7 linked regions of the Canis lupus familiaris genome follow. Each later gene encodes a partner of the first gene's protein in a complex. Links are inferred from orthologs where the notes say so. Each region holds a gene or a part of one and is shown in the gene's direction. Other genes may lie near its edges. The genes, in order: POLR2H, GTF2F1, GTF2E2, TAF1B, RRN3, POLR1H and UBTF.

Region 1 (4,264 bases):
CTAAATCACACCCTTTGGGCTCAATCTCTCAGGAGTGACGCCTTCTCTTGCTTCTGGGGGTGGGGGTGGGGGGGCGGGCAGCGGCTCAGACGGGCCTCGCAAGGCCCCTCTCTGCTCCGTCGAGGGTGAGAAGCAAAGCTGGAGGGACTCGGAGGGGGACGCTAGGCCCAGAAGGCGGGGGTGAGGACGTGATGCTCGGAACTGAGACCCTCCCGTGTCTCTCATCCTCTTCCCTCCTCCTCTTCTCCAGGGTTCCTCTTCTAGGAAGTCACACCTGGAGCAACCTGGCCTGCGGGGTGTACGGGGTGGAGACAGGGAGGAAAGGTGAAGGGGTGAGGCCCGAGGGGAGAGATGTCTAGGTGCTGGCGAGGAGGCTCCTGGAAGGCGGGCGTGGGGGTACAGAGGTCGTTTTTCCCTGGCGGGGCCCAAGGAGAAACTCGAGTAGCTGCTGACGTCTCGCCGCCACCTGGGGATCTGTGTTCTCTCTCAGGGTCTGGAGAAGGATGGAGCAGAGGGTGGGGTGAGCACAGGGTGGATGGACAATGTAGGAGAGAGCGTGTTAGGGGAGAGGCGGGTGCCCAGGACACGGGCAGTGTGCGGGAGGACGCAGTACCAGGATGGAGGGGCCCGCGGGAGGCAGAGGCGGTGCCCAGGAAGGGGCAGTGTGAGAGGAGCGGCACCCAAGAGGAGGGGGGGCTCGTATCCGTGGGAGCGGACGGTGCCAGCCTGAAGGGGCACGTAGATCAGCGTCCAAGGGAGAAGGCGGGGGGGGGGGGGCAGGTAGTACCAAGCTGCAGGGGCAGCGCTGTGTGATGGGGTTAAACGCCAGCCGTCAGCCGGGCTGAAGAGGCGGAGTGGAAGAGAGTGGGGCCCCGGGGAAGAGGGCAGTGGTAGGGGGGTGCTGTACCAGGGGAAGGGACGAGCGCAGGCTTTCCTCTTCCCCATAGTGACATCATGGCAAATTCCCAAACGGGACGGAGCCGGCTCGGGTGACATCCAGCAGGGCCAAGCCGGTCCAGCCCGGTCCAGCCCGGTCCAGCCCGGGCCCGGCTAGGAAGCCTCGGTGCCAGCTGTGGGGACTGGGCTCTGCGCCCCGCAGGGTCAGCGCGCTGGGGGCGGAGTTCCGCCCCGTCCGCCCTCCGCGTGGACTGTGCCCTCGGCGGGCACGCAGACCAGCAGGGGAAGGTTTGCGCCGGGCTTCTCCGGGCCAAGGATCAAGGTCCCGGGCTGGGGTAGGCCCGCCCGCATTCCAGGCGTCCCGACCCGGCCTCTCAAGAGGGCGCAGCCGAGCCTCCGCGTACAGCGAGACGCCGCGCCGCCTCGGCTGGAGGTGGAACTAACCGGGTCCCCGCCCCGGGGCGGAGCCACCCGGCCCCGAGTCCCGCCCCCCACTCCCGAGGCCTCTCGGAAGGCGTCGTTCGGGGCGGAAGTCCGCGAGCCCCGAGGCCCAGGCGGCGGAAGTGGCGGCGGCGCTGCCTGCCCGCGCGCATGCGTGTTTCTAGGGCTCTGCGGCCGCTCTCTGGGCGCGCGCTCTCCTTCTCTCCTTTACTCCACGCGAGGGGGAGCGCGTACCCCTAGGCGTGGTCGCGCTCCCGGCCCCTCTCGTACTCTCGTGGCCACCTCACCATGGCGGGCATCCTGTTTGAGGATATTTTCGATGTGAAAGACATTGACCCGGAGGGCAAGAAGTTTGACCGAGGTAAGGTGGAGGTAGACGTAGGGGCGGCCGAGTCAGGGGGTAACCTCCTCGGGGACACGCCTGTGGGCCCCTGGTCCACCCACGCCGCGTGGCCCGCCCCTGCCGGCAGTTCCTGACTCAGGAATCCCCATCAGGAGACCTTGGATCGATGGGAACTCGGCGTCTCCCGAACTCCGCCTGGCTCCACACAGGCTGGCCCGGTGCCTGGGTGGCCCGTTCTCATGGTGCTGGTGCACCCCCGTGCATCTTCCAGTCGCTCCCCACTCTGCTGGGCGCTGTAGCGTGCACCTTACACACACTTCGTCCTGCCCAGTTCTCTCAGGAGCCTCCATGAAGTAGTTGGTGTCTTACCCATTTTGCCCCGAGAAGTTAAGTAAGCTACCCAAGGCTGCACAGTGACTAGTCCGACTTCAGAGCCTGTATTCTTGTATTGTCCTGAGAATCTCTAGCCCTTTGTGACATCCGCTCTGAATTAGGATTGCTGCTTGCCATACAGCTCTTTATTCTGCCGTTGATCAGACTGGGCCTCCTTGGGGGTCTCTTCTTTTGTCCAGAGACTGAGATGTTCTTCAAGACAAACACCAGGTCTTAACAGTCCTGATAGTCCACTCAGCACAGCAGCTGGCACAGAAAGACAAAACTTTTTTTTTTTTTTTTTTAAGATTTATTTATTTGATAGAGAAAGCAGAGTGAGAGCGTATGAGTGAGGAGGAGGGGCAGGGAGAGAAAGAGAGACAAGCAGACTCCCTGCTTGAACAAGGAGCCGGATGCGGGGCTCCATCCCAGGACCCCGGATCACGACCTGGACTGAAGGCAGATAAACAACTGGGCCACCCAGGCGCCCTGAGACAAAACCTTTGGGGGGATCCCTGGGTGGCTCAGCGGTTGAGCACCTGCCTTTGGCCCAGGGCGTGATCCTGGAGTCCCGAGTCGGGCTCCCTGCAGGGAGCCTGCTTCTCCCTCTGCCTTTGTCTCTGTCTCTCTCTCTGTGTCTCTCATGAATAAATAAATAAAATCTTTATAAAAAAAAAAAAAAGACAAAACCTTTGGATGAATGAATAACTTGTCTAAAGTCAGGTTGTTTGTTAATCACCTAGGCAGGCCTAGAACCTGGATATTATTTATTGCCAGAGGGACCTTTGGTTGTTTTCTGGGATTCTGTCCACTTGCCATAGTTTTCACTCCTTTCCTTCTGGCATATCTGGTTCTCATTGAGTCTGCACTTCTTTGAGAGCAGACGTGAGGCTAGTGGATGCAGATGGGGTTCGAATGAGTGCTCAATTGCATGTAATCCCCCAAAGTGGGGTCTGCAGGGTCTGCAGAGCCTGGCAATTACCTATGCCACTCTTTCTCTACCTCCCTCCAGTGTCTCGGCTACATTGTGAGAGTGAATCTTTCAAAATGGACCTGATCTTAGATGTAAACATTCAGATTTACCCTGTAGACTTGGGTAAGTATTGAACACAGACAATAGCAGAAGGCTTTTTGACATTTCAGCTGTTCTTTAGCCTCTGGTATTGCCATGATTTTCAGGTGACAAGTTCCGGTTGGTCATAGCCAGTACATTATATGAAGATGGTACCCTGGATGACGGTGAATACAACCCCACAGATGATAGGCCTTCCAGGTGAGGAAGTGAAGTACTTCCCTCTCAGGAAAGGAGTACTTGAAATACGCTTGAGGACTAAGTAGATAAGTGGTATAGGAAAAAACCCTTATTTAATTTGTGGAATAAATGATTATCAGTAGTATCTGAGCAACCTTAAGGAAATTGCTGCACTTAAGAATTCAATGGGGATCCCCAGGTGGCTCAGCGGTTTAAGCGCCTGCCTTCGGCCCAGGGCATGATCCTGGAGTCCCTTCGGCCCAGGGCATGATCCTGGAGTCCCGGGATTGAGTCCCGTGTCGGGCTCCCTGCATGGAGCCTGCTTCTCCCTCCGCTTCTCCCTCTGCCTGTGTCTCTGCCTCTTTTTCTCTCTCTCTTTCTCTCTCTCTCTGTGTCTCTCATAAATAAATAAATAAATAAATAAATAAATAAATAAATAAATAAAATCTTAAAAAAAAAAAAAAAGAATTCAAACAACCAGGTAGCCTGGATGACTCATGGCTCAGTGGTTTAGCGCTGCCTTCAGCCCAGGGCTTGGTCCTGGGGACCTGGGATCGAGTCCTGGGTTGGGCTCCCTGCATGGGGCCTGCTTCTCCCTCTGCCTGTGTCTCTGCCTCTCTCTCTCATGAATAAATAAATAAAATCTTAAAAAAAAAAAATTCTAACAACCAGGTGTTTTTCCAGGGCAGCAATTACATGCTTGTGGGTTGTACCTTATCGATGGCTAAGGAGATGACCATCAAGTGACCCAGGCTATGTGAGCCTTGCGTCTTGGGAGAGAGTTTGGTGTGATGGAAGGGCTTTGGAGCTCTACTGAGTTCAAATCTCAGCCCTATCAGTTCTTTGTTGAATGGCTTTAACCTCTTGCAGCCTCAGTTTCCCCATCAGTAAAGTGCAGATGATCACACCTTGCTCATATGGTTGCTGGGAGGACTAAATGGCATTGTGTTTGGAAAACG
Region 2 (4,280 bases), on another chromosome or scaffold:
GGGTTTGGTGCCTGCAGGGGCCAGCACGCACCGATGTGTCTGTGTCCACAGCCTAGTGTGTGTCCTCGGGTGAGTGACGCGGGACACGGGTCTCCTGGCATTACCCATTTTTGCCCTAGGGTGGCATCTGGGGGTGTGCATCCATGCCCAGTGGTATATCCACACAGGGCACGGGTTAGCGCTGCTACAGGGGCGGGTTTGGGGGGCTGCGAAGAGGATGCAGACTGCGAGCAGGCCATGCCCTCTGCACACAGCATCTCCTTGAAAACCTCAATGACTCGATTGTCCCGTTTGACAGCTGAGGAAACAGGCTCAGACTTGCGCCCCCTCTGGGCCATCCCACAACGCCCTCCTCCTCCTTCCCTCTGGTCCAGCCCCCCTGGCCTCTTCTGTCCCTTGAACTTGCCAAACTCATCCCTCTCCCGCTGCTCCCCCTGCACGCCAAGTCCCTGCTCCGCCGCCTTCAGGACACAGCCCACCCGCCCGCCCATCAGGCTTCCCCTCCCGACCTCCCCCCGCATCATCCCGTCCCAGGGCCACATTTCCTCCACTGCAGCAGCCACGGTCAGCTAGGATTTTGCCTGTTTCCTTGTTCTTGTCCGTCTCCCCAGCCACACTCTGTGCTCCGGGAGGGCAAGGACCAGTTCTGTCTTGCTGGTCCCCGGGTTTCTACCAGTTGCCACGGTCCCTGACGTGCGGTAGCGGGTGATGAGCAAACGAAGGTGCGTGGCTACCAGGCGTCTCTAAGGCAGCGCAGTAGTCGATAATGCAATTTCCGTGTCTTGCTTCCCTCCCGCTTGGCTTAGTGAATTCCCAGGCATCCCACAGGGCCCAACGTAAACTTTAAACCTCCCCTCTCCTGGGGGCCGCAGAGCCGGCTCCTCTCTCCCCGTGGCAGCCCTGCTCCCTCCTGCTCGCCGATCCCATTTTTCTGAGACTGTCTCCTTCCCTGTCTACACTGTCATCTCCTGGAGGCCGGACAGCTAGTGTGACATACTCGCCGTGGAGTGCCCAGAACCCCGCGCAGCAGGTGCCCAAGCGGATCAAAGCGCGGCTGATCCTCGAGCACGTGCAGCTCGGTGGGTGGGGGGCGGGGCGTGTGCACACCGGCCTGGGGTGTGGGGTACCTGCACCTCCCTCGTGCCCTTCACGGCCTCCTTCCTCCCCCCCGCCCCGTGAGCCAGCCGCCCCTGCGACGTTACCCTTCTCCTGGGGTCGCAGGGGCCTGCCCACCTCGGGCAGCTTGGACTTGCACAGACCCATCCCACCAGCGGCCCTGGGGTGGTCGCGCCCCATCCCCACCCGGGCCCTGACTCCTCCTCCTGGCTCGGCTCTACGTCACAAGGGCCCGATCACTTGGCGAGACGATGAGGTCTCCCCGGGGCAGAAGGAGGAAATGAACCCAAAGGGGCGCAGCTGGCGGCGCCCCAACAGCTCGGCGCGGACTAAGAGGCCCCGGTCGCTATGGTGACGCGGCCTCCTCCGACTCACTTCCGGAGTGCAGTGGCGCATGCGCGAGGCGCCCGAGAGCTCGCGAGGGAGGCTAGGTTCCTCCCTCCTCTCCCAGGACGCCCCGCGGCCCCCGGATGTGATGTCACGAGGAGGCGTGGCCACAGGCTGATTAAATCAGTCGCGCTTTATAGAGAGGCGCGACGCGGCTTCCGCCGCAGCCGGGGTGTCTTCCGCGTCGGGGTCGGTCTGGGCCGTCCGCTCCGCGGGACTCGGGGAGCTAGGTGACGCGGAGGAGGTTGCCGTCGCGCCGCGGCCCGAGTGTCACGTCCAGGTTAGGCGCAGGCGCAGACGCGGCCGGAGCGGTTCCCCGAGAAGACCGACTTCTGGGTAGCGGCCCCCTCGATCCGGGCCAGAGACCCGACGGCGCGCGGGCGGCTTCCCCGGGACTGAGGGGCGCGGGCCGCAGCGGACCCGAACCCCCGACCGTCACCATGGCGGCCCTCGTGAGTACACGGGGGAGCTCGGGGGTCGCGGCGCGCCGCCTCTGCAGCCCCCCACTCACCCACCGCCCCTCCTTCTCTGCCCGCAGGGCCCCAGCAGCCAGAACGTCACCGAGTATGTCGTCCGAGTTCCCAAGTAAGTCCCGCAGCCCTCTCCCCGCTTCCTGAGCTCCCAGGCCAGCCTGGCGCCGCCGGTGATGCCGCCTCCCGAGGAGCAGGGACCTGGGCCCAGGGCTGGGGTTGAGCGAGGTGCATCCCGTGTTTGCAACGGAATGAATGAATGAGCCCATTAGTGGGCGGTACGTCGGATGCAGCCCCCTGGCCTAGCCTTCTCTCGGCAGGAAGGCCTTTTCCCTGGCGTTGTGACTCCTGTCGGTCCTATAAAACCCAGCCCCACGATCTTCCTCCTCTGGGAAACATGCCCTGCCTGCCCTCCCCCGCCCCCGCCCCCAGGACAGAGGTCTCCATTATTCCCACACCTTGGGCACCCCCCGTCCCCCGACCTTTATGCCTCCCCTCCTGCTCTTCTTCAGCAGAGGGGTCGGGAGAGACCGGGAACCCCTGAGGGCTTCTGTGGGTCCCCAGCGTTGCTGAGCCAAGGGAGGGTTTGTTAAATGAACGGTGAACTGAGAGCAGCCCTCTTTTTGCCCACCCCAGAAACACAACGAAAAAATACAACATCATGGCCTTCAATGCTGCTGACAAAGTCAACTTTGCTACCTGGAATCAGGTAAGTCCCCGTTGGGAGTGAGCGTAAGAACCTGATCCTGCAATAGGCGCTTAGTTACAGTGGTAAAACTAAGGCTTGGCTTCGACCCCGCTCCCCGAGTGGGGATAAGACGATGTACTGAGGCCCAGGCTGAGCTGCTAGGGATCCCTGTGAGGAAGATTGGGCAGGCCCCACAGGAGGCCTCATGAAAGGATGGCATTTAGAAGTTGTGCCCCCTGACGGGCATTTCCAGCCTAGAGTCATCTGGGCAAGGCCGAGGGGGCTGCAGCCTGCAGATGGTTTTTGGAAGCTCTGTCCATGGGTGCTGCTACAGCAGAATACCGCAGACCGGGTGGCTTTTAAACAACACATATTTATTTCTCACGGTTCTGAAGGCTAGGAGGTCTGAGAGCAAGGCGCCAGCAGATGTTTGGTCTGGTGAAGGCCTGCCTCCTGGTTCGTAGATGTCTGTCTTTTTACTGTGTCCTCACGTGGCAGAGGGGGTGAGAGAGCTCTTAAGAGGGCACTCATCTCATTCACCAGGACTCCACCCTTCGGACCTAATCCCCTTCTCAAGGCCCCACCTCCCCATACCATCACACCGGGAGTTAGGTTTCATCATATGCATTTTGGGATAAAACACAAACATTCAGGGATCCCTGGGTGGCGCAGCGGTTTGGCGCCTGCCTTTGGCCCAGGGCGCGATCCTGGAGACCCGGGATCGAATCCCACATCGGGCTCCCGGTGCATGGAGCCTGCTTCTCCCTCTGCCTGTGTCTCTGCCTCTCTCTCTCTCACTGTGTGCCTATCATAAATAAATAAAAAAAAAATTTAAAAAAAAAAAAAAAAAAAAAAAAAAAAAAAAAAACACAAACATTCAGTCTATAGCAGAAACCTTTAAAGGGTTCTAAACAGGGGAGTTATAAACTGATCTGGGTGCTATAGGATCAGGGGCAGACAAAGGGTGTTGCAGGGTGGAGGCGTCGGCGGTGGTCCAGGTGAGTGACGACTGGGCATGGAGCAAACAGCGGTTGTGAGAAGTCAGTGGATTCTAGTGTGTTTTAAAGTGGAGCCAACATGATTTGTTAATGATTGGATGTTGACGGGTGACAGGGCCGGATGGACAGAGTATTGGGAGTTCAGTTCTCAACATCTTATATCAGACACCCAGGAGGAGACAGTAAATAAGCAGTGGAGCATCTGAGTTGGGAGACTGGGAGGGAGCATCTGGGCATTGGGGGCAGCATTTGAAGCCACAGAGACTGGACCAGCCCAGCACAGGAGTTGGCCCAGGTCTAAAGTTGGCAGCTTCAGGCAGCTCCTGCTGCTCATCCTGTTTTCAGCACCGGTCTGTCTTTTGACTGTTTTTAAACATCCCTTCATCTAGTTGAGCAAGTGAGGCTATTTGAAAGAGACGTTAGTCCCTCTGGATATTGGGCAGGTGGATGCTTGCTCAGGGCACCCTCTTCCCTTGTAGGCTGCCTGCCCCCCAGCATCTCCAGCCGTATGCACATTCATATACAAACTAACATGCTCCCCCAACCTCTGGTCTCACCTAAATTACCCAGAGAAGGTGGAGTGTTTCCAAATCCCTGATCACTCTGGGGGTGGGGGTGGGG
Region 3 (3,500 bases), on another chromosome or scaffold:
GGTAAGTATAATTCCTGGCAGTGGAATTACTGGATTATATGGTATTGCTAACTTTTTGAGGAACCTCCATGTTGTTTTCACAGTGGCTGCACATCTGCATATGTTTTTTAACTCAATACTTTGTCCTGGACATCTTTCCCTATTAGCACGTAGAGAACATTTGCATTTTATTTTTTTAAGACAATATTTATTTTGGAGAGCGAGAGTGCATGCGCACTGGCACAAGTGGGATGAGGGTGGGAGGGAGAGAATCTTCAAGCAGACTTCCTGCTGAGGGCAGAGCCCGATTTGAGTGAGGTTCAATCCCACAAGATTATGACCTGAGCTGAAACCAAGAGTTGAATACTCAACTGACTGAGCCACCCAGGCGCCCCTGCATTTTCTTTTTAAACATCTGTATAGTATTGTAGTGGTGCTATAGTTTATTAATTAGTCCTCTGTTGATGACCATGGGTCATTTCTAATGTTTTCTTTTTGCAACCAGGGCTGCTGTGACTGTGTCACTAATTGTGAGTTGTGTGGGCATATCTATCTGTAAGGTACATTCCTAGAAATGGATTGCTGGGCCAAAGGGTTAAATGCATTCTTATTGGCAAATTGTGTTCCCTAGGAGTTGTATTAATTTGCGTTTTTACCAGCAGTGTGTTGGGAGGGCGTGTTTCCTTATAACTGACAGAGTCATCAAACATGGATTTTGCCAGTGTAATAGGTTTGAAATATTTTGGTGGAAATTGAGTATCTTTTCATATGTTTATTTCCATTCATTTTCTGTGATTTTTTTTTTTTTTTAAGATTTATTTATCTTAGAGAAAAAGAGAGGGCTGGGGGTGGGGTCAGAGGAAGAGAGTCCTAAACAGTCTCCACACTGAGCACAGAGCCCAATGCGGGGCTCAGTCACCACCCTGAGATCATGACCTGAGTTGAAACCAAGAGTTGGACACTTAACTGAGTCACCCAGTGCCTCTTCCTTTTCTGTGATTTATGTATGTTCTGGTCCGTGGGTCATTTTCCTGTTAGGGTTTTGGGACTTTTAAAATATTAGGAGGATTAGCTCTTTGTGATACAAGTTGAGAATATTTTCTCTCAGTTTATCATTTGATTTTAAAGAGCTACAAGTTTGAACCTGGTTCTGATTTTATAGTCCCATTTTCTTCATCACTATAATTGTATTGTCTCAAATAATACATGTTCTACATTCCTGAAAGATTCATTTACTTCTATTACTTAATGCATCTAGCAGTTTAAAACTGTCTCCTAATAACAGTTTCTTCTCTCAATAGACACGGCATCAGCGAGGAGATACACACCCTCTCACTTTAGAAGAAATTTTGGATGAAACACAACATTTAGATATAGGACTCAAGCAGAAACAGTGGCTAATGACTGAGGTAAGAATAGGCTTAAAATGGAGTTAAAAAAATTAGTTGGTTACCATGAAATATTTATTACAACTAAGGTTTTTAATATACTGAAATCTGATAATTATTTTTACTTATTCTTAAAAGAATTGGTATAGGGTCTTTGTTTTTTAAACATACACATTTTTTAAGGTGGTTTGATTTGTTGATTTTCTTAAAAATTTATGTATCTAAAATGTCAAAGACCTTTAGCATGGAATTATAAAGAAGTCAGTCATTGTACTGGTTCCATTTAAGTTTTTACAGATAATTGATATTTTTTTAATTGCTAAATTTAGAATTATATTGTTTTTATATATGTTTTAGAACATTTGAATTATGAGGTAGTGTAGGGCTAGGGAAATATTTGTTATGTTCTGACTACTATTATGAGTTGATAGTGATGTTACTCTGACAGATTACTTGGAAAACTCATCCTTACATTGTGTATGTACACACATTATTGGAAAAAAAGAAACCCCACAATAATCACTGGCCCTACTAATTTGGAAATAGCATTTTTAAAAATTCACACATTTCAGTCTTTTCTTTTTCAGTATGAAATGAAAATTAGGATTACTTTCTGTGACCCATGTTGTATTCTAAAGATCAAATGTAAAATTCCTAAAGTATAATTCAGTAATTTTACTGAGCAAAGTATTGTTCTTAATTTTTATAATATAAAATCAATGGCTAATCAGTAACATTATAGCTTGTTGTGGTTGTGATATACAAATAGTTGTCATCCACATTTGAATTCAGTTGCTTTACCTAATCTTGAAATTTCATAGGCTACCAATAATTAGTTAAAAATTATTTTTATTACTATTCTGTTCTCCCTCCTTTCTTCTATGTTTCTTTTCTTTCTCCTTTTCAGGGTCAGGCTGGCAGCTGCAGAAGAAAATAAATAGGGTAGCTCTTCCTTGAAGAGCTTTCCTTCTGGTAGTAGCTGTACAGCAGAACTGACTAGGAATATAATTATATTCAATAATTCCTGCATTCCTACTCAGTTTCATTCTCAAGCTGCCATTATAGGTAAATTTCTTGTATGCACTAGTCTGGTGCTTTTCCGTTCCTTCCACACCTGTAATTGCCATCTGATACCAGGTGGGGCAGACTGTTGGTATATTCATCCCAGGGTGATGTTTACACATAATGTCAATATATAATAAACTGTACTTTGAGGGTGGGATAGGCAGTACCCAGTTCACTTTGTCTATTAATGTTAATTGGCATTTATTGATTCTTTATCTTCTTTTATCTTCCAAAAAATATGGGTACAGTTTCTTCACATCAGTTGTGATGAAATGGTTTTTCTCCTTTAAAGAATTAATGTAATAATAAAAAGTATCATCATAAAAAGTGAGTAACATGCTGCTCTCTGCCTATTGGTTTTTGGATCCTGGATGTCCAGTATTTTAGATCTGCTAGTTGATATTCATAATATACTTTTTAATTTACAATTGTATTGGGTATCGGTATTTTTTAAATAGTAGAATTTAAGAATGTGTATATGAGGTTTCTCCTTTTATTAATATATCCAAATTGTGTCACTGTTACAGGCATTAGTCAATAATCCCAAAATTGAAGTAATAGATGGGAAGTATGCCTTCAAGCCCAAATACAACTTGAAAGATAAGAAAGCCCTACTTAGGCTGTTAGATAAACATGACCAGCGAGGCTTAGGAGGAATTCTTTTAGAAGACATAGAGGAAGGACTGCCCAATTCCCAGAAAGCTGTCAAGGTAACTTCTCTTTTCTTTCTAAGCCTTAGTATAATTTGAATTAATAATGTCTTGTTTTAAAAGAAACAGCAAGTGTTTTTAAATTTTTTTTTAAAGCTTCCATTATAGGGAATCCCTGGGTGGCTCAGCGGTTTAGTACCTGCCTTTGGCCCAGGGCGTGATCCTTGGAGTCCTAGGATCGAGTCCCACATTGGGCTCCCTGCATAGAGTCTGTTTCTCCCTCTGCCTGTGTCTCTGCCTCTCTGTCTCTGTGTCTCTCATGAATAAATAAATAAAATCTAAAAAAAAAAAAAAAAAAGCTTCCATTATATATATTTGGGGTTGCGGTGAGCCAGCTGAAGATTTGATATTTGGGTTC
Region 4 (4,065 bases), on another chromosome or scaffold:
GAGTCTCAAGTCGCACAGAGGCAAGCCTGGCAAATGACATGGGTGACACAACTGGACAGAACACTTGTCTAGTGCCATGATAAAATAATGTGACCGACTGTTGCACTGGACTGGATGGCTCTTGTAGGCAGGGACTCTGTCCTCTCATTTCCCAATAGCTGGCACAGTGCCTGGCGTAGAGTGGATGTTGAATAACTGTGAAATAAATAAATAGACAAGCAAATAAGGAGTGAGTGAATAAAGAGCCAGTGTCTTTTTTTATTTTTATTTTTTTTAAGATTTTATTTATTTAATTCACGAGAGACCCAGGCAGAGGGAGCAGCAGGCTCCCTGCAGGGAGCCCGATGTGGGACTCGATCTGGGTCTCCAGGTCACGCCCTGGGCTGCAGGCAGATGCTCAACCGCTGAGCCACCCAGGCGCCGCGAAGAGCCAGTCTCTTGATGATCTCGAAAGTCTCAGGACTTTAAATACCATCGAGGCCGAGAGCATTCCCAGTCCAGACGTCACCTGGGAGCGCTCGGCTCCCTGATCAAGCTGTCCTCTCATCCTACCTGGGCCTCCTGCTTCCTCTTCTCCCCGATTCCCACGCTGTCCCCGCGCGGCCTGGCCCTGCTCAGTCGGGCTTCACCCCTCCCAGGCGCTCAGGCCGCTCAGGCCCGAGACCCTGCGGTCATCCCTGCCTCTCTCTCCTCCCGCCCGTCGGGCATCCTCGTGGCCCTTCGAAGCCCGCATCTCCAGAATGTCCGAGCTTCCCGCGGTCTCCCGCACCTTCATCCTGCGCAAGCCCCCGCGGACCTGGCCTTCTCTCCACCTCTGCCTCTGCCCCGGTCGGACTCTTCTCCCCTCGAGCGTCGGGCTGAAAGCAGGGGCCAGACGGTGTAGACTCCTCCCCCAGCTTCCAACTACCCGGGGCAGCCAGTAGCCGAGTCTGACGGCGGGGGAAACCGAGGCCCAGGGCGCCCACACGGGGCCTGCACGGGGCCCAGCTCCGCGAGCGCGCGCCTCCCTCCCGGAGCCCACGCCGCTCCCGCGCCTGTGAAAGCCCGACGGGGCGGCGGCGTCCACGCTGGGACCCGGCGGGCTCAGCGGGAGGCGCGAGCGGCCTCCTTCCGACGTGGGCTGCAGGGCGGTCGCCGGGGCGGAGGAGAGCAGCCTGGGCTGGGGCTGCAGGGCGCGCGGGGCTTGCTCCCCGCAGCGCGCGGAGACGAACCCGCAGCCCCAGGCGCCCGGAACCCCAAGCCGCGGTCTGGGTTTCCGCCCGGCGGGCCCCTTCCGGCGCTCCCGGAAGCTGCGCTCGCTGCCCGGGTAACGGGCCCGGCCGGGGGGCGGCGGCGGCGGCACCACCACCGCTATGGACCTGGAGGAGGCGGTGAGCACGGGCCGGAGCGGGGCAGGCGGAAGGCTGCGGGGCGGGGAAAGCGCTGGCGCGGCCGGGGCGGGGCGGGGGGGGGCGCGCGCTTCGGGGACAGAGGCCGGCGTTTCGGGCCCGGTGAGCGTGGGGGTGAGGGAGGGCGGGGCGTCCACGTGGGTGTGTTTCTGGAGGAGGACGGAGTTGTGGGTTTTATGGGGTGGCCACCCACGGGCCCATCCCCTCTGGACCGGGCCACCCGCAAGTTTCCTTGGACGGCGGGGTGGGCGTGGGAGAGCCGGGTCCGACGGGCTGGCTCCTGAGTCCCCCCCCCCCCCCCCCCCAGCCACCCCGCAACTGTCCCTCGGCATCCCCGCCACCGTCCGGTGATTCCAAACTCTCCAGGGTAATTTATCCAGGTGATCAGGACGCGGGCACCGCACACTTCACCGGCCTGTTGAAATAAATTCGGGTTCGGTTTTTTTTTTTTAAGATTTTATTTATTGATTGTTGTTGAAATAAATTCGGGTTCATTTTTTTTAAAGATTTCATTCATTCATTCATTCATTCATTCATTCATTCAAGACTCACAGAGAGAGAGAGAGAGAGAGAGAGAGAGGCAGAGACACAGGCAGAGGGAGCAGCAGGCTCCCTGCAGGGAGGGGCCTGATGCGAGACTGGATCCCAGGACCCCCCGGGGTCACGCCCTGAGCCACCCACCCAGGTGCCCCTCCGCATTCCTTTTTGTTGTTGTTGACACACTGCGCCAACCACTGCTCTCTTGTGCTGCGGTAAAGGAGTATTCGGCAATTAGATCAAAGAGAAGGTCAAAGACCCATCCTTTTAGGGTCTGCCTGTGTAGGTACAGAAGCGTTAGGGTGATAGAAGGCCTTACTTGTTATAGATGCTCAATAAATGTTTGTTGGATGATGGAGGCTAACGTCCGTACGTGCTGGGTTAATGAAATTAGTGACTGTATCTCACCATTAGCCCGTGTTTGCTGTGAGTAGAGATCACGTCTGTTTTGCTCACCGCTGAATCCCCGGCCCCTAGTTAAATGCCTCGTGCGTACACAGGTGATGCTCCTTATATTGCTGGATGAATAAATCGAAACTCGGAACAACCCCAATAAAAATCTGGTTCTTTTGCTGTATGTGTTTCTAGTATCATTGAGAAAGTTCCAAATGGTTTGCAGTTTTTATTTTTAAGGTTTTGTCTTTACTTAAATCTTGTCCTCTTTTTTTTTTCTCACAGCACTTTGCAGTTTTAGTAACTCATCCTTTTTTCCCATTTTACCCCTACCACCTTTTCTTCCTCTTTTTCCCCCTTCACACACTGTGTTTTAGAAACTTTTTAAATCATTTAATTCCACTTCAAACTATTCAAAAGACTGAACTATTCTCTTTGTTTATAGTTAATCTCTCGGATACATTTTTCTTTCTTTCTCTTTGTTTATAGTTAATCTCTTGGATACATTTTTCTTTCTTCACTCCCTCCCTCCTTCCCTTCCCTTCCTCCCTCCCTCCCTCCCTTCTTTCCTTCCTTCCTTCCTTCCTTTTTTTCTTTTAATCTGTAGGTTAAAATTCCAGGGAACCCTTTAAGTAGAACTGCAGGGTTTAGGTGCAGTGTGTTGAATATGGCTTGATAGTAACAGCTTTTCTATATTCTATAGAAAGAGTTCAAGGAAAGATGTACTCAGTGTGCTGCTGTCTCCTGGGGTCTTACTGATGAAGGCAAATATTATTGCACTTCTTGCCACAACGTTACAGAAGTAAGTAATATAGATCATTTATGAGTCTGCTAATGTTTTAAAAATTGCTATTTTAGCCTGATATGTAGCCTAGTTCCCAAATAATCATTGTCACTCATGTACTGCCCAAATTCCAAGAACGTAAGTAGTCTTCAAGTGTTTACACGTGAGTTAAGGAATTAGATTTAGGATGGGTTTTTGAAAAGATGTTGGGCTGCATTTATAAATAATTTCATGATTCAGACTGTGTAATATAAGGGAAAATAATTAAAATTGTACTTATAAGGTGATGCATTTCTCTTTATTTGTTAATACCTATATAAGTTTTTATGTGTTGTGGTAGCTTAGAGGTTTGGAAGATGGAATGTTGTAAAGATTGAAGACGGGAATATTGGAAATATGCTTCATTATCATTTTATCTTTGTACAGTACTTTAGAAATTACAAAGTCTTATTCATTATTTCATTTCCTCCTCATAAACACCTGTGAGATATAGTACCATGCCAATCCATGGATGGGGCAAGTAAGGCTCAGGAGTTGAATGAGATTGCCAAAGTCACACAAGTATAAAGTGTTGAGCCAGGACGTGAACCTGAGTCTTGTGACTACAGTGCTCATTTTACCCCATCACACCTGCCTCTTACACTAGAGATTGTCATACTGTCTGATATAACCTTGGTAAATGAGGCCCCCTTCACACTGGGAGTGAGTGTTAGGTCCTGTTCTAATCACCACACATTCAGGGCAATATAACCAAAATAATCAAGGGTGTGGACAGTCAGCTATTGGACAGGTAAACATGCCAGGGCTCCACTTTGGAAAAAGATTTGCTCAAAGTCTCCAAAGCCAGGAAAGAACAAATATTACATTTACCACATAGACTTAAGAAAGGCAAATTTGAGACAGATAAAAGTAACTGTGTAGACTTCTGCTTTTGGCCAAGATGGAGTAGCAGGGACTAGATTT
Region 5 (3,500 bases), on another chromosome or scaffold:
GATTCAGGAGCAAAGGCATTTTGTGACGTTGCGCTCCATGGACCCTTTTACTCAGCTTGCCAGGCTGTGTTCTACACTTTTGTTTTCAGACACAAGCAGCTATTAAGTGGAAACCTGAAAGAAGGTCAGTGATGTGGGATTGACAGATGTGAACTGGATTTTCCTGGGATGCCAGTCACTCTTTAGAAGGGAGAGTTGTTACTTTTTTGAGAATTTCGTGAAAACTCTGGAGTCAGAATAATGTCCATGCACTCAGACTTTGACCCTTATTTTCCAGCAGCCCTTGAGCTCCTAAAGCCCTTTGTAGCCCCTCTGGAGCAGAGGATGGACTTGAGGTTGAGCACTCCATTTTAGAGGGTGGCATCTAGAGTACTTGTGAACCGTGAAGATGTTGTTCGTAGAGGCGAGGCCTGGCACAGTGCTCCCTGCTGTCCTCGGGATGGCCCCTGAAGAGTAGGCATCATTCCCCCTTGTGGGGACTAGGCACACACAGGATATTGATTGGCAGGATTAGAGAATAAAACCAGATGGGTATGATTCTAAAGCTTGGGGTCCTAACAGTTACTCTGCTTTATCTAAGGACTTAAGCATTAATCTTCAGTTTTGCTAATTTCTGAGGGTTGTGTATATAATTTAAATCTACCAGATGAAGCTTGTTTATCAGGTTAGTGTGACAAGAATAGCATTAAGTCAACTTAAATGGTTTTATTTATTTGCATGAATAATTCAAGTGGTTTAATAAGCTGTTTCCTCTAAACCAAATGTTCTCAAGCTCTGACATTTGGGGCTGGTTCTCTAGTTGTGGGCTCCGTCCTGGGCATTCTATGATGGTTGGCACTCTACCCGCTAAATGCTGGTAGCATTAGGCCCCCCTCCCCCCACCAACTCTGTTGTGACAACTCAAATTCTCAGACACTGCCACATGTCCTCCTCGAGGGCACAGCTGCCTTAAGAGGTGAGAACCACAGCTCTGAAATTGAACTGTATGTGTTGATTGTATGTATTTACTTATATCCTGTTACTTCTAAAAAGATTAGGACTAGTTGTATAAATCAGGAGAAGGACAAGGTTTTAGCACAACGTAAGCAAAGTATTTTTTTTGTGTATGTAAATAAATGGTAAGATAGGTTGACAAATTGAATTTAAATTTTAAAAAATGGTAAGAGTCTTGGTTAAAGAGGATGTAGTTCTTGAAAGCCATGACATTTTTAGTTATTTTTATCAGAATATACATCAAAGATGGGGTGTCTGGCTGGCTTAGAAGAACACGGGACTCTGGATCTCTGGGTCGTGAATTCAAACCCCACGTTGGGTGTAGAAATTACTTAAATAAAACTTAAAATACATTAAAGAATCTCCTAAGAAAAATGTACTTAAGCATAGATTGGCTTGCTTGCCTTTAAAAATAAGTGTGCTTTCTTTTACTAATATAGGAGAGAACTATATTTACTTGTTCCAGGAGAGTGGTAGCTCTACCTCTGTAGTTTCCTTGTGAAAAAAAAAACACAACTGGTAAATGAACAGCTATTGCACACTTGAATAATTTGCTCAACTTCACTAATAATTTCAGACATTCAGGTCTTGCTGTTTGTTTGCTCTTGTCGGATTGGCATATTTATCTGTTTGTGGAAGTAAGGAAGGAGAAACTCCAAATTGTATAGTCACTACCTCTTGGGAATGGACACTGAGTGTTGCCTCAGCTTCGTATTGATTTCATGATTAACTGAAATCAAATCACGTGGGTTTCCCCCCCACCCTCTAAACTCAGGATATGCTGAGCTTACAAGTACCCAACTTCCAAATTGTCACAGAAGTTCATTGCTCACTACAGATGTGTGCTTACTTCCTGTGTCTTTGAAAGAATATGCTGTTTTCTTTAGAAAAGTTGACTTCGTCATAAGGAGGTGTGTGATTAAGCCTGGTGACATTCTGTGGGGCTCTGCATTGTGTGACTACATGGACCTCAGTTATTTAAAGCATTTCTGCAAATAACTGTGAGAATTTTTTTTGATGTGTGAGATAATCTGTGCTGCTTAAAGATACTTAGACTGTTATGTTTGTACTTTTAATAAAGTGTTTTGTTTTTTAATCAAAGGTTTGAGATACCTTCAAAGTCTAAATTTTGAACGTATAGTGATGAGTCAGCTGAATCCCCTGAAGATTTGTCTGCCTTCGGTAGTTAACTTTTTTGCTGCAATCACAAGGTAAGTAAGTTATTTTTACCTTACGGGGGGGAAACTATTTAAAAATATATTTATGGGGCAGCCCGGGTGGCTCAGCGGTCAGCGCCGCCTGCAGCCCAGGGCGTGATCCTGGAGACCCGGGATCGAGTCCCACGTCGGGCTCCCTGCACGGAGCCTGCTTCTTCTCTGCCTGTGTCTCTGCCTCTCTGTCTCCTACTCTGTGTCTCTCATGAATAAATAAAATAAAATCTTTAAAAAATATATGTATATATATATTTATGTTAGTGTCAGTATTGTACAATTCCCCTAAATTTCTATGAAATTATTCAGTAAAATTAATAACCATAAAACATGTAAAAACCAGTAAGCGTGTACTTGCAGGAAACATTGCAGTTAAGCTTTTGTTTTTTTATGATTTTTACAAAGATATTCATTAGGATGATAAACAGACGGGATGTGAGAGGGTTATGCCAGTAGGAGACAGGCTCTTACAGGGGCCGTCCAGTCAGGCCCATGACTCCAGGCCGTGCAGAGTAGGTGCTGTGTCCCTGCACACCTGGACGGGTATCACACTCAGCTCACTGTCCTCACCGTGTGAGGACTGTAGTGGTAAGCCCTGCTTAAAACGAGGAAAGTAGGGACACCTGGGTGGCTCAGTGGTTAGGTGCATCTGCCTTTGGCTCAGGGCCTGATCCTGGAGTCCTGGGATCAAGTCCTGCATCAGGCTCAGCATGGAGCCTGCTTCTCCCTCTGTCTATGTCTCTGCCTCTCTCTGTGTGTCTCTCGTGAATAAATAAATAAAATCTTAAAAAAAAAAAAGAAGGTGGAGACCCAGAGAGACGGGATGACTAATGAGAAGGGGCTCCCTGGTGGCAGAGCCAGCATGTGAACACAGGCAGTCTCTGGTCCTCTCCGAATTCTTCTGCCTAAAGTACAAAGTGAGATGGAGACTCTGAGCCCTTGATCAGAATATTCAGGCTAGGATCATGGCTTAAAATCTATAACAGCTAGGAGTCTCTTCTGGTACAAGACAAAGATAATTCTTTCATCATTTAATCCCCTTTAGATCACTTGCTGCTCTTACTTAGGGCCCTTATTTTTCTTTTGTTAGGCTTGTAGTTCAAGGTGTTCTGTCTCCTGAGGACTAGTTCTGGGGCCCGTCCTGAGATCTCAAAAATGATAACAGAATTGAGGAAAGGAATGAGCAAGCAAGAAGGTCTGGGGTGTGAAAGGCCCAGCACATGGCGGGAAGGTGGGAAGCAGCAGATGAAGAAAAGCTGAGACAGGAGCTCCTAGAATATTTGTGGGCTGGGAGCA
Region 6 (4,094 bases), on another chromosome or scaffold:
CCAGGGTTTCCATGGTGATACCTGTATCATTTGTAACACTTTCATGCTGAAATTTAGACTGTAAACGGGAGGTAATCTATAATTTAGATTGACAAATACGATGTGTCTCTGTTACTGGAATGAGCCTGGTATCAGTTATTGGATCTCACTGACTTCCTGCCTATGTTCCTATCTGTCCGTGGACACCTATTCTGATATTTAACAAAGGTAACCGTCCTATTACTTTTCAGAACACAACCCAGCACGGTTTGTGTTCAGCAACAGTTTCTGGAACTCATCTTCTGGTTCCCTTGTCGCTGGTATTCGAGCACCTTTCTCCTTTGCTCCTGAGGTGCCATGTCCACGTTTTTACTGAAACATCAGCGAGTCCTCCTGGAGGTGCAGACACCATAGTCCTAGGCCCTGTGTGGGTCTCTCGTGGCGGGTTCCACCGTGTCCTTCGTACCCCTTGAGGTCACAGCATCCTTTCCAACGGTGCCGCCCCAGCTCCACAGACACTTGGAAAGGCCCGGGCCTCACGACACCGGCCCATCGGGATCGCGCTGGACTCTGCGTGGAGCAGCACTGCACGGTCACGGAGTCGGGAGCAGAGTCAAAGAGGTTAACAGGCTAATTTTAACGTTCGCGGTCTAAACGGCAGACCGCCCCCTTCGAGCCGGACAGAACGACGTCCTGCGGGGACAGGCGGACGGGAGCCACGGGGGCAGCGGCTCAGAAACTCCTCGTGCCCCGCAGACGGTGGTTACTGGCGAGCGGCCGCAGCTCGGCTCCCTAGCGACCGTGAGCCTTACGCTCGGGAACGGCAACCGTGCTCGTCACTCCCCGGTGACCCGCTGGGCGCGGCGGAGGGGGACGGCCCCCAAGTCAGCCCCGGGCCTGGGCCGCCCGCCCCGCCCCGCCCCGCCCCCGGCCCTCGCCCTCATCTCCCTGGCCCGCCCGCTCCTAGAGCATGTCCTGGGCACGTCAGGCCGGCGGGGCGGAGCTGGGCCCACTGGCTCCGGGGCGGCGCGGCGGCGTTCGGGAAGCTCAGCAACATCTCCACAAGCAACGCTCCCGAGGTTGGGTCCCAGAAAATACGTATCCCCGGACTGCGCTTCTTCCTGATGGAGTGTCCGGAGGCGCAGCGGCCATTACCCGAGCTCCTATCCCGGCGTCGGCACCTCCGTCCGTCTCCCACGGCGCTCGACCCCCGCTCTGGGGCTCTCGGGGCGCCGGGCGCCGGATTGTGACGTCACGGCCAAAGGCGCCAGCGCCGCGCACAGCAGTCGGGGCGACGTATTGTGACGTCACAACCCCACAGAAGCCGGCGAGGCGGACAGCAGTCTGGGCGCCGGATTGTGATGTTACACCCAAGGGCGCCGGCGCGGCGGACTGCGGTCTGGGCGAGGGATTGTGACGTCACGACCAATGGGCGTCTGCGCGGCGGATGCTCTAGCCCGCTCCGCTCGGCGGGTGCTCTCACCTGCCCTGGAGGACCGCACTACGCCGGCCGGTCCTCCCGCGGAGCCTCGCGCGTCCAGGGAGGAGGGCTCGGTTCGCGGCCGCCGGGGTCCCTGGACGGAACCGGAGCTGCCCACCGTCGCACCCTCTGCGCCATGGACCCCGCGCCCTCCGGCTCCAGATTCCAGTCGGACCTGGACTTCTGTCCGGACTGCGGCTCCGTCCTGCCCCTGCCCGGGGCCCAGGACGCGGTCACCTGTGTGCGCTGTGGCTTCGGCGTCCCCGTGCGGGGTGAGGAGGGGGCGGGAGCGGCCGGGTTGCGGGGGGCGGCGGAGGGTCCGGGGGTGCCCGCAGCCAGCGCTTACCGCTCCGCAGACTTCGAGGGGAAGGTGGTGAGGACCCGCATCGTGTTCAACCAGGTGGGGACGGCGGTGCCCGCGCCGGTGCAGGAGGAGCCAGAGCTCCAGGGACCCGTGGTGAGTGAGTGACCCCAGCACTGACCCACAAGGAAGGCGGGGAGACATGCAGGGTTGAGTGCTGAGTCTGGGGTAACGGGTGTGCAGGAGGAGCCCGACCTCCAGCGACCCGTGGTGAGTGAGTGATGCCAACACTGATCCACAGGGAGAGCGGGAAGGGCTGCAGGGTTGAGTGCTGAGGTCTGGGGAAACAGAGGTCTTTGGAGCAGGGGTGCTGGGGAGAGCATGCAACGAGATTCCTGTAGGAAGCAGGGGTCATCCTGGCTTTCCCTGACCCCCCCCCCCCTTTGGTTGCCAGGTTGACAGGCGCTGCTCCCGATGTGGTCACGAGGGAATGGCCTACCACACCAGACAGATGCGCTCAGCTGACGAGGGGCAGACCGTCTTCTACACCTGCACCAGCTGCAGGTGTGCCCCCTCCCTGGCCCTCTGCCCTCTCCCTCTGGCCCTTAACCACACATGTCCTGTGACTTCCCTCTTGTACCCAAGAACCGGTTATTTCCTTTGGTCCTGTCCTCTTTTCAGGTAACAGGGACATTTGTGTTTTTTTTTTATTTTTGAAAAAGAACATTTTTGTTAGTTTTTTTTATAGCCAGTGAAGCGAAGCTTTTAAGCTGTTTAAAGGAGTGAGAACAGAGAGAAGGCAGGTATTTCTGGGTGGTCTGCGTGTTGAATCCTGCTGCTTGTTCCAGTGCTCTTGCTTTTATGAGAATCACCTGTGATTTCAGGAACCAGAGAGACCTGAACCATTTGAGAACTCCTTGTCTTCGGTGTTCTGTACTTTCACCACGCTTATCAAGACCTAGCTTTCAGGATCCCTGGGTGGTTCAGTGGTTTAGCACCTGCCTTCGGCCCACAGCATGATGATCCTGGAGTCCTGGGATCGAGTCCCGCATCAGGCTCCCTTCATGGAGCCTGCTTCTCCCTCTGCCTGTGTCTGTGCCTCTCTCTCTCTCTCTCTCTCTCTGTGTCTCTCATGAGTAAATAAATTTTTTTTTTTTTTAAGATTTTGTTTTTAAATAATCTCTATCCACTGTGGGGCTTGAACTCAACCCCAAGATAACAGTCGCAGGTTGTGCAGATTCATCCAGCCCGGTCATAGGGTAGCTCTATTTTTAACTTCTTGAGGAACCTCCACACTGTTTTCCAGAGTGGCTGCACCAGTTTGCATTCCCAGCAACAGTGCAAGAAGGTTCCCCACTTCTCCACATCCTTGCCAACATTTGTTGTTTCCTGACTTATTACTTTTAACCATTTTGATCTGTGTGAGATTTTATCTCATTGTCCTTTAGGTTTTTAGTCCAGGATTTTTAGTTGTCTTGAATTTGAAGGATTGTTTCGGGGAGCTAGTCATCTACAATGTCATAAATAAAACTCCCTCCTTAATTTTTCACGTGAATGTTTGTCTTATACTGCTAAAACCTCTGTGCCTAAATATAATGAGTCCTTTCTTTCTCCATAGGTTCCAGGAGAAGGAAGACTCTTGATTTTCTTTCTGGGCACCTTATCAGTTCTCCCTCTTCCTTGAAAGGTGAGGGATATTGGGTTCTTAGATGCTTTGTCTATCCTGGTTGCAGTGCTTTGCTCCCATAGACAGAGATTATCATGTGGGCATTACCATTGTCCCTACAGTACACCTACTGTAGTTGAGTTTCTTTATCAAGGTTACGTTTTTCTATATAAGCCAGACATACCTGTTATTTATAATGTCTTGTTCCAAAAGGAATTTAAATGGATTTACAGAGAATATATTCTTTCAGTAAGTATATCAGCTACAAAAAATATAGTATAAATTAGTGTATGAGAAGGAAAAGGGAAAAAGGAAACTACCAAAGACAAAAAATGGAGGCAGGAATGAGACTAATATAAAAAGTAATTATGGGCACCTGGGTGTCTCAGTGGATGAGTATCTGCCTTCACCTCAGGGTATGATCTCCCGGGTCTTGGGATTGAGTCCTACATCCAGCTCCCTATAGGGAGCCTGCTTCTGCCTATGTCTCTGCCTCTATTTCTGTCTCTCACATAAATAAATAAATCTTTTTTTTTTTTTTAAGTAATTACAAGTATTCCATGACTAAATGTATTTGGTTCCTGAGTTTAGGGAAACAAAGCAGGAGCCCAGATGCTGGGAGATAAGCAGATAACGTAACCAGATGTGTCTGACGTGTGAGCTGGAAC
Region 7 (2,687 bases), on another chromosome or scaffold:
TGGCCAACATGAAGGACGTGCCCAGCACTGAGCGCATGGTGCTATGCAGCCAGCAGTGGAAACTGCTCTCCCAGAAGGAGAAGGATGCCTACCACAAGAAGTGTGACCAGGTAGGTTGTGCTAAAGAGGACGTCTGGAGACCCTTGGGGCCTTGGGAGTATCTGACCCCAACTAGGGGTCAGTCAGTGGTCAAACGTGTCTCAAACACCTGCTACAAACTTCGTCTAGTCTGCTAGGTTTAGCATCTGGGCTGATCAAGCCAGATGGCCCCCAGGCTGCCTGTCTAGTGTCTATAGAAGGAGATTAGGCCCTGTCCAGGCTCCGAACATTTTGTAGAAGGCTCTTGTCCCTTGGGAACGAGCAGGTATGTGCCCACACTGACCCGGACTCCCCTTCTTTCCTAGAAAAAGAAAGATTATGAGGTGGAGCTTCTCCGTTTCCTAGAGGTGAGTGTTCTCGTAGGTGGGGCATTGGGCAGAGGCCCTGGGATTAAGCAGGGCCCTCTGGACTACCTGGGAGGAGCTGGCTCCCAGGTGCGCAGCCCCATGCCACGTCTTGTCTCTGGACCAGAGCTTGCCAGAGGAGGAACAGCAGCGGGTCCTGGGGGAGGAGAAGATGTTAAGCATCAACAAGAAGCAAGCCACCAGCCCCGCCTCCAAGAAGCCCTCGCAGGAAGGGGGCAAGGTGGGCAGGGGGCACAACGGGCGGTGGTGGGGGAACATGGGGCTCCCTGTCCACACCCCCACGGACCCGACCTCTGTCCACCGACAGGGCGGTTCAGAGAAGCCCAAGCGGCCGGTGTCGGCCATGTTCATCTTCTCTGAAGAGAAGCGGCGGCAGCTGCAGGAGGAGCGGCCCGAGCTCTCGGAGAGCGAGCTGACCCGTCTTCTGGCCCGCATGTGGAACGACTTGTCCGAAAAGAAGAAGGTCAGGCTTCGGGGGCTTCTCCCCCAGGGGCGGGCCACACTTCCTCAGCCACGGCCTGCGCTTTAGCCCTCCCTTAGCCCTCCCTGTGCCTGGGCTCAGGTGCCGAGGGGGCCCGCAGCTCCGCAGCATCCCGGGGAGCAGAGCCGGTTGGCGGGCTGAGCCCCAGGCCGAGCCCCAGGGGGGGACATCTGCGCCGGCCCAAGCCTCTGCCGGCCCCGCCCTGCCGGGAGAGGGGGGGGTGCCTCCACTGTGGACGGGGGACGCGCGCCCCCTGGGGGCGGCCGGAAGGATGACGCCCTGCCGGCCCTCCGCAGGCCAAGTACAAGGCCCGGGAGGCGGCGCTGAAGGCCCAGTCGGAGAGGAAGCCAGGCGGGGACCGCGAGGACCGGGGCAAGCTGCCCGAGTCACCCAAGAGAGCCGAGGAGATCTGGCAGCAGAGCGTCATCGGGGACTACCTGGCCCGCTTCAAGGTGGCAGGGAGCCCGAAAGGGGTTGTTCAGTGGCCTGCCCTCGCGGGCCGGTTCCAGCCCCAGGTGACCCCTCCCATAGCTGATGCCTCTGTTTCTCTCCAGAATGACCGGGTGAAGGCCTTGAAAGCCATGGAGATGACCTGGAACAACATGGAGAAGAAAGAGAAACTCATGTGGATTAAGAAGGCAGCCGAAGACCAAAAGCGATACGAGGTGGGAAGAAGGGCTCTGCTGGTCAGCATGGTGGCCCCTAGGGAGCTGGGGGTCAGAGCACCCTTTTGGGCTGGCAGCTGTCCTCAGTGGGTGGGCTGTGGAGCTGGGAGTCCCAGCCTTGGTTGTGTGACCCTGAGCAAATCTGCCAGCTTCCTTCTCTGAGCCTCAGTCACACATCAATCAGTACATGGGGGCTGTGAGACCAGTCATGTGAGTGTAGTTGTGACAGCACTTCCAAGCAGGGGCGCCTGGCCCAGGTGTGACCTGTTAGGACGTAGCTCCTCCGCTCGGCCTCAGTTTCTTTTTTTTTTTTTTTTTTTTTTTTTTTTTAAATTTTTTTTTTAACTTTTTTTATTTATGATAGTCACAGAGAGAGAGAGAGAGAGAGGCAGAGACACAGGCAGAGGGAGAAGCAGGCTCCATGCACTGGGAGCCTGATGTGGGATTCGATCCCGGGTCTCCAGGATCACGCCCTGGGCCAAAGGCAGGCGCCAAACCGCTGCGCCACCCAGGAATCCCTCGGCCTCAGTTTCTAAGGCAACTGATGGCGTGGGGCAGATGGTAGAAATAATTTTGGGTGAGGGGTGGAGTGAGCGTGACTCCTTTGAGTGTCCCCACAGAGAGAGCTGAGTGAGATGCGGGCACCCCCAACTGCTGCAAACTCATCCAAGAAGATGAAGTTTCAAGGAGAACCCAAGAAGCCTCCCATGTGAGTCTAAGGGGGCTAGAACCCACCTTGGCCGCAGGAAGGGTCATGGCTGGATGGCTGTAGGGTAGGCGTCCTAACCCTCCCTGTGCCACTCTACCACCTAGGAACGGTTACCAGAAGTTCTCCCAGGAGCTGCTGTCCAATGGGGAGCTGAACCACCTGCCGCTGAAAGAGCGCATGGTGGAGATTGGCAGCCGCTGGCAGCGCATCTCCCAGAGCCAGAAAGAGCACTACAAAAAATTGGCAGAGGAGCAGCAGAAGCAGTACAAAGTACATCTGGACCTCTGGGTCAAGGTGAGAGGGCTGGGGTGGGGGTACCTGGGTGGCTCAGTGGTTGGGCATCTGCCTTTGGCTCCGGGTGTGATCCT

The links.
Region 2: POLR2H (region 1) and GTF2F1 share a complex: the UniProt entries of both Homo sapiens proteins name them as parts of the TBP-based Pol II pre-initiation complex. The link is inferred for Canis lupus familiaris from reciprocal best matches to the Homo sapiens genes POLR2H and GTF2F1.
Region 3: POLR2H (region 1) and GTF2E2 share a complex: the UniProt entries of both Homo sapiens proteins name them as parts of the TBP-based Pol II pre-initiation complex. The link is inferred for Canis lupus familiaris from reciprocal best matches to the Homo sapiens genes POLR2H and GTF2E2.
Region 4: POLR2H (region 1) and TAF1B share a complex: the UniProt entries of both Homo sapiens proteins name them as parts of the pol I pre-initiation complex. The link is inferred for Canis lupus familiaris from reciprocal best matches to the Homo sapiens genes POLR2H and TAF1B.
Region 5: POLR2H (region 1) and RRN3 share a complex: the UniProt entries of both Homo sapiens proteins name them as parts of the pol I pre-initiation complex. The link is inferred for Canis lupus familiaris from reciprocal best matches to the Homo sapiens genes POLR2H and RRN3.
Region 6: POLR2H (region 1) and POLR1H share a complex: the UniProt entries of both Homo sapiens proteins name them as parts of the pol I pre-initiation complex. The link is inferred for Canis lupus familiaris from reciprocal best matches to the Homo sapiens genes POLR2H and POLR1H.
Region 7: POLR2H (region 1) and UBTF share a complex: the UniProt entries of both Homo sapiens proteins name them as parts of the pol I pre-initiation complex. The link is inferred for Canis lupus familiaris from reciprocal best matches to the Homo sapiens genes POLR2H and UBTF.

What each region holds. Positions count from the first base shown.
Region 1 is NC_049255.1:17,408,546-17,412,809, forward strand, and holds the start of POLR2H (DNA-directed RNA polymerases I, II, and III subunit RPABC3), read left to right. Parts: upstream 1-1,464; 5' UTR 1,465-1,626; coding exon 1,627-1,699; intron 1,700-3,065; coding exon 3,066-3,149; intron 3,150-3,232; coding exon 3,233-3,326; intron 3,327-4,264. UniProt on the Homo sapiens protein: DNA-dependent RNA polymerase catalyzes the transcription of DNA into RNA using the four ribonucleoside triphosphates as substrates.
Region 2 is NC_049241.1:54,168,236-54,172,515, forward strand, and holds the start of GTF2F1 (general transcription factor IIF subunit 1), read left to right. Parts: upstream 1-1,480; 5' UTR 1,481-1,943; coding exon 1,944-1,955; intron 1,956-2,041; coding exon 2,042-2,088; intron 2,089-2,609; coding exon 2,610-2,682; intron 2,683-4,280. Other genes in the region: adenylate kinase isoenzyme 1-like, read right to left, coding at 1,203-1,296. UniProt on the Homo sapiens protein: TFIIF is a general transcription initiation factor that binds to RNA polymerase II and helps to recruit it to the initiation complex in collaboration with TFIIB. It promotes transcription elongation.
Region 3 is NC_049237.1:34,561,308-34,564,807, forward strand, and holds part of GTF2E2 (transcription initiation factor IIE subunit beta), read left to right. Parts: intron 1-1,280; coding exon 1,281-1,388; intron 1,389-2,959; coding exon 2,960-3,142; intron 3,143-3,500. UniProt on the Homo sapiens protein: Recruits TFIIH to the initiation complex and stimulates the RNA polymerase II C-terminal domain kinase and DNA-dependent ATPase activities of TFIIH. Both TFIIH and TFIIE are required for promoter clearance by RNA polymerase.
Region 4 is NC_049238.1:6,879,370-6,883,434, forward strand, and holds the start of TAF1B (TATA box-binding protein-associated factor RNA polymerase I subunit B), read left to right. Parts: upstream 1-1,265; 5' UTR 1,266-1,352; coding exon 1,353-1,370; intron 1,371-3,021; coding exon 3,022-3,120; intron 3,121-4,065. UniProt on the Homo sapiens protein: Component of RNA polymerase I core factor complex that acts as a GTF2B/TFIIB-like factor and plays a key role in multiple steps during transcription initiation such as pre-initiation complex (PIC) assembly and postpolymerase recruitment events in polymerase I (Pol I) transcription.
Region 5 is NC_049227.1:28,745,348-28,748,847, reverse strand, and holds part of RRN3 (RNA polymerase I-specific transcription initiation factor RRN3), read left to right. Parts: coding exon 1-124; intron 125-2,095; coding exon 2,096-2,204; intron 2,205-3,500. UniProt on the Homo sapiens protein: Required for efficient transcription initiation by RNA polymerase I (Pol I). Required for the formation of the competent pre-initiation complex (PIC).
Region 6 is NC_049256.1:27,778,227-27,782,320, forward strand, and holds the start of POLR1H (DNA-directed RNA polymerase I subunit RPA12), read left to right. Parts: upstream 1-1,294; 5' UTR 1,295-1,340; coding exon 1,341-1,731; intron 1,732-1,815; coding exon 1,816-1,916; intron 1,917-2,214; coding exon 2,215-2,324; intron 2,325-3,378; coding exon 3,379-3,403; 3' UTR 3,404-3,447; intron 3,448-4,017; 3' UTR 4,018-4,094. UniProt on the Homo sapiens protein: Core component of RNA polymerase I (Pol I), a DNA-dependent RNA polymerase which synthesizes ribosomal RNA precursors using the four ribonucleoside triphosphates as substrates. Can mediate Pol I proofreading of the nascent RNA transcript.
Region 7 is NC_049230.1:19,061,984-19,064,670, forward strand, and holds part of UBTF (nucleolar transcription factor 1), read left to right. Parts: coding exon 1-110; intron 111-404; coding exon 405-446; intron 447-570; coding exon 571-684; intron 685-771; coding exon 772-927; intron 928-1,241; coding exon 1,242-1,397; intron 1,398-1,499; coding exon 1,500-1,610; intron 1,611-2,230; coding exon 2,231-2,319; intron 2,320-2,423; coding exon 2,424-2,613; intron 2,614-2,687. UniProt on the Homo sapiens protein: Recognizes the ribosomal RNA gene promoter and activates transcription mediated by RNA polymerase I (Pol I) through cooperative interactions with the transcription factor SL1/TIF-IB complex.